Linked DNA regions of Bombyx mori. The protein of the gene in region 2 interacts with the protein of the main gene of each other region in a pairwise test. Links are inferred from orthologs where the notes say so. Each region holds a gene or a part of one and is shown on either strand. Other genes may lie near its edges.

Region 1 (2,695 bases), on a different chromosome or scaffold from region 2:
CCCCGTTAGTGGATCGGGAGGATCCGTAATGACGTGTTTTGGGCGATGTCGACTGTTTACCATTCGGTCCATAGAATCGGCTATGTAGTTATTACAACGCGCCCCCAATCACAACATAGGAGCACCTGAATGATATAACAATGAGGTTTTTAGAGAGTTTTAACTGTGAACGTGGAAGGCTTTAAAAGAAAAGGTCGACCTAAGAGGAAATGGATGCTTTGCGTGAAAGACGATATGTGTAAGGGGGGAGTGAGCGAAGTAATGGTATATGATAGATGTTGCGCTGGCCCCAGGTGACTGGGAGAAGGGCAGGAGAATGATGATAACGAGAACGGCCGACGTGCTACATCAAGTCTCTTCTTGAAGATTAAATAGTTTGACATCTTTGAACGTGTGTATGTGATAAAACCCTTCTTGAAGTGAAACTTCTTTAGAATCGTGATTTCAAACTCGATGAAAGGAAAAAATAAGTCCATAGACACAAACATATAAATGTATAGGATTCAGCCGGCGAGAGAATGAGATAGAACACATTAGACGTTCTCGGTCTCCTCTTTGTGCGACTCTTCGTAGCATCCCCACCATCGTCTACTTAACATTGTCCATATGTAAGCTCCTGTGTAATGGGATAGTCAGTATATCTAAGTCAGTATATCTATATCTTTTTTTTTTGCATAGATGGGCGGACGAGCTCACAGCCCACCTGGGGTTAAGTGGTTACTAGAGCCCATATACATCTACAACGTAAATGCGCCACCCACCTTGAGATATAAGTCCTAAGGTCTCAGTACAGTTACAACGGCTGCCCCACCCTTCAAACCGAAACGCATTACTGCTTCACGGCAGAAATAGGCGGGGCGGTGGTACCTACCCGCGCGGACACACAAGAGGTCCTACCACCAGTAATTACGCAAATTATAATTTTGCGGGTTTCATTTTTATTACACGATGTTATTCCTTCACCGTGGAAGTCAATCGTGAACATTTGTTGAGTGCGTATTTCATTAGAAACATGTCGCTTAAACCAAATGGCCTTTCACTTCTCGATATGTGATTTTTATTAGCCCCTTATTTTTAAGCACAACTCTCTAATGATTTGTGTAGCTCGTTGGTCGTGCACAACAACAAGGATCACCTTGAATCCGGAGGGTGCAAAGGGAACTTCGAACCCCATGGAGATGGGCGGGCGCGTCCACTTCTTCTTGGTGTCGGTCTCGAGCAGCTCAATCTCCGCAGACAGCTGGGTCTCCTTCATGCCCGCCATGCGCTTGATCCTGAACATTTTCAAAATTCATTTAAACCGTTAGCACGATTACCTACACCAAAGTATATTTTGGAACGAAGTTCCTTATGGGACGATGCAGAGGGGTACCCTAACCGGGAAAAAACGTCCGTAACGTAAGATTTTTATTATTTACTAGCAACCCGCCCTCGCTTCGCTTCGGAAACATTAAATTTTATTATTGATAGTTGAGTCCCGCAACGTTACCCGTGGTTACTGTCGTACTGCGGGTGACGCCGCGGGGCGAAGCTAGTCTAAAAAAAACCTAAGTTACTGCTTATATCATCAGCTACCTATCAGTGAAAGTCCCGTCAAAATCGGTCCAGCCGTTCCAGAGATTAACCGGAACAAACAGACAGACAGACAAAAATTGTAAAAAATGTTATTTTGGTGTATGTACCGTATATAACTAGTCAGGTCAGAAGTATTGTCACACAGTAAAAACTTTTCTTTTAGAATGCTGGCCACAAAAAAGTTTATTGAATTCGAATTTCGAATTGTTCATGAAAATAAAAATGTATACTTTTAGAATTTTACTCATTTTTAAATATGGAGTGGACGCTTAAAGAAGACCGTGTTGCAGTTATTGCGTTGCATCGTTGCGGTTACGCGCCAATTCAAATTTTTAACATACTGAAAAATTTGAATATAACCAAAAGATTCGCTTATCGTACCATCAAACCATACAATGAAGACTCTAGTGTAGATGACAGGTCAAGAAGTGGTCGCCCTCGGTCTGTTAGGACTCCAGCAGTGATAAAAGCTGTGAAGGCGCGAATTCAAAGAAATCCCAAACGTAAGCAGAAACTGTTGGCCCTTCAGATGGGGTTAAGCAGAACCACGGTGAAAAGGGTGTTAAATGAAGACTTAGGGCTTCGGGCATATCGAAGAAAAACAGGACATCGTTTGAATGCTCGTCTAATGGACCTGAGACTGAAGAGATGCCGCGCTTTGTTGAAGCGGTACGCGGGAAAAAAATATCGGGAAATTCTTTTTTTCGGATGAAAAAGTTTTTACCGTAGAAGAGAGCTACAACAAACAAAATGATAAGGTGTACGCACACAGTAGTGAAGAAGCGAGCAACCGTATTCCGCGTGTCCAACGAGGTCATTTTCCATCCTCGCTCATGGTATGGTTGGGAGTTTCTTATTGGGGCTTAACAGAGGTACATTTTTGTGAGAAAGGTGTAAAAACGAATGCAGTTGTGTATCAAAATACAGTCCTGACGAACCTTGTGGAACCTGTTTCTCATACCATGTTCAATAACAGGCACTGGGTATTCCAACAAGATTCGGCGCCAGCTCATAGAGCGAAGAGCACACAAGACTGGCTGGCGGCGCGTGAAATCGACTTCATCCGGCACGAAGACTGGCCCTCCTCCAGTCCAGATTTGAATCCGTTAGATTACAAGAT
Region 2 (2,724 bases):
AAAATTATTCGAAATTGAGTTAATATGCGGAATCATTTGGTGTCACCAGTATTTTTCTCATAAATACTGTCAAAAGAGCGTAGTTTCGTTTTTTTTTTGTTTACCTTTATTTTGGCTACTATTGACAAAATTAATACATAATTTTATCTTACTTTAAAAGACAGATAATGTAATTGGAAAAAATATAAAAAATAAATGTTGCAAATATGTTTAATATTAAAAATATCACATGTTAAACCTTTAAAACATTCTCCTGTAAAATTAGTAAGTTTTGAGATTCTTCTTTTTCTCCACCCTATCCCACTAGGTGTGGTCGGCACAGCTAATTTTTCTCTTCCATTCTCTTCTATAAGCCGTCATCTCAACACTCACTCCTCTCTCTCTCTCTCATATCGTCATTCACACACTCCATCCATGTCTTCTTCGGTCGACCTCTTCCCCTCTACCTTGCACTACCATTTCCATACATCTACTAGTCACATGCATCTTCTCTCTACGCATCACATGTTCATACCACGCAAACCGTCCGCTCCCTAATTTGTTGCTTACCGGGGCCACTTTCACACTTCCTCTGATATACTCGTTCTTTATTCTTTATTTTGAGATTATACAGTTTTAATGCGAGAAGACGATGGTATTCGTACACTGTGGAAGTCAATCGTGTTCACATTAGTTAAGTACGTATTTCATTTCGTTGTATTCGTGACAGATACGTGCCGCCTCTCCACTCGCTGCCGGCCGACTTCCCCGACTCCGCCGCCGAGATGAGCGCGGAGCTGCGGAAACAAGAATCTCTTCTCAGTCAGATCCACGCGGAGATGCACGCCGGCTTCATAACGGCCGCCAGAGATCAACAACTATGGGAGGCGCAGCGAATTGTAACACAACTCAAGGTAATGTTAGAACCCGTAGTACGTCTAATGAATACGCCTCAAGAGTTATTTGAATTCACACTCGTTTTTTATTTATTTATTGCTTAGATGGGTGGACGAGCTCACAGCCCACCTGGTGTTAAATGGTTACTGGAGCCCATAGACATCTACAACGTATATGCGCCACCCACCTTGGGATATAAGTTCTAAGGTCTCCGTATAGTTACCACGGCTGCCCCACCCTTCAAGCCGAAATGCATTACTGCTTCACGGCAGTAACAGACGGGGACAGAATAGACTCACAAGAACTCTTACCACCAGTAAAATTTGAATTTTATAGAATGATTGACTAATAGTTATTATCGATCATTGATGTTTCGTTACAGCGTAAACTTCGTTCGGTACAAAAGTCAACGGAGCCTAACGCGGTGCCCACGCAGCAATCATCCGTAGACGAGAAGCAACCGGACGAGGAGACTACGCGAGTGTGCTCGCAGCCGACCGAAGCCGAGAAGCCGGTCCGCGAAGTCGAAAGGCCAGGCCGCGAAGTCGAGAGGCCAGTCCGCGAAGTCGAGAGGCCAGTCCGCGAAGTCGAGAGGCCAGTCCGCGAAGTCGAGAGGCCAATCGACGCGTTCGAGCCCAAGGAATCGCCGCTCGACCAAGACGCGACCTTCGAGGCGGAATTCGAAGACAACTTCGACTTCAAGCCGGACAAAAAAACGACCACAGATGAGACACAAGCTACGGAACCCGTCCAAGATAAACCGAAACTCACCGAGAAAGAACTCAAAGTGCTGCGTCTCGAATTAGAGAACGCTGAATACCTGCAACTGAAGTCGTTGTTGCAAGCGAAGATCAATTCGGAACAATTCGAGATTGTCAAGCTGAGGAGCTACGTCGCTCTGAAGAACAAACAGGAATGCAACCTACAGAATAACAAAGATGCCAAAGAAAACTCCAGCGTCGACGAGCAAGAGTTAAAACAGAGGCTGATGAAAGAAAACGCTTTGCTCGAGCAGAAAAGACTGAATTTGATCAACCAGATCTTTCAAGAGAGGGTCGCGTGCATCCAGCTGAAGATAGAGCTCGCGATGAAAGAGATTCTGTCTAAATCATAAAATCTTCGAGTCTCGAACTAGTTTTAAGTTTATTTATGCACTTCTATTCCATGTAACAAATGTAAATTAGTAATAAAACCAGTTATGAACTAATTCTTTGTTTATCTGACGAAGGCAAAACGTGGACTAGCTCCGTTTTTTTTTTTTTTTTTGAATTGAACATATCAAAAAAATATTGAGGGAGTCCATATTGTATATAATTAACACCACAGTTGACACAATAGGAGTTCTAAGTTATACACATTATTATTTTTTTGTCCGTTTAAATTTTCGGCGGTAAAAAGGTCCAGACTATCTTCTTTTTTCCCCTCTCGTGCGTTCCGACTTACGCATCATAAAAAGGTGCGTTCTTAAACGCCATAATATGTTAGCAAAATCGGATCGCAGCAAAAATATAAAATCTTTCAGAAATTATTAAGTGTCAAACTTAGTTGCGTAATAATTATCCGAACAAAATGTACATTCATGACATCACCGATAGATAGATAGAGGGCGTAGGCGAATGATAAGTGTTGATTAAAAAGAATCGGTTTTATTAATTCCTATATTATTTTACAACCTGTTTTTATTTGATTGTCTATTTACAAATTGATTCATTTTTAAACGCTGTTACGTAGTAAATAACGTACATTATTAAATATATACATAATATAATCAGACTGCGGTGTCGTCAATCGTCCGTGACCCCGAAAACTAAAGTATTCGAAATGTCGGAAATAAGATAATGACAATAA

What was found. The genes of interacting proteins can lie anywhere in the genome.
Region 1: the proteins of ralA-binding protein 1 (region 2) and AP-2 complex subunit mu interact in a two-hybrid assay, tested with the Drosophila melanogaster proteins (2 studies listed by BioGRID). The link is inferred for Bombyx mori from reciprocal best matches to the Drosophila melanogaster genes Rlip and AP-2mu.

The regions. Positions count from the first base shown.
Region 1 is NC_085114.1:2,144,724-2,147,418, reverse strand, and holds part of AP-2 complex subunit mu, read right to left. Parts: intron 1,275-2,695; coding exon 1,136-1,274; intron 1-1,135.
Region 2 is NC_085113.1:5,985,751-5,988,474, reverse strand, and holds the end of ralA-binding protein 1, read left to right. Parts: intron 1-709; coding exon 710-893; intron 894-1,258; coding exon 1,259-1,990; 3' UTR 1,991-2,083; downstream 2,084-2,724. UniProt on the Drosophila melanogaster protein: Participates in receptor endocytosis during interphase, is also involved in mitotic processes when endocytosis is switched off.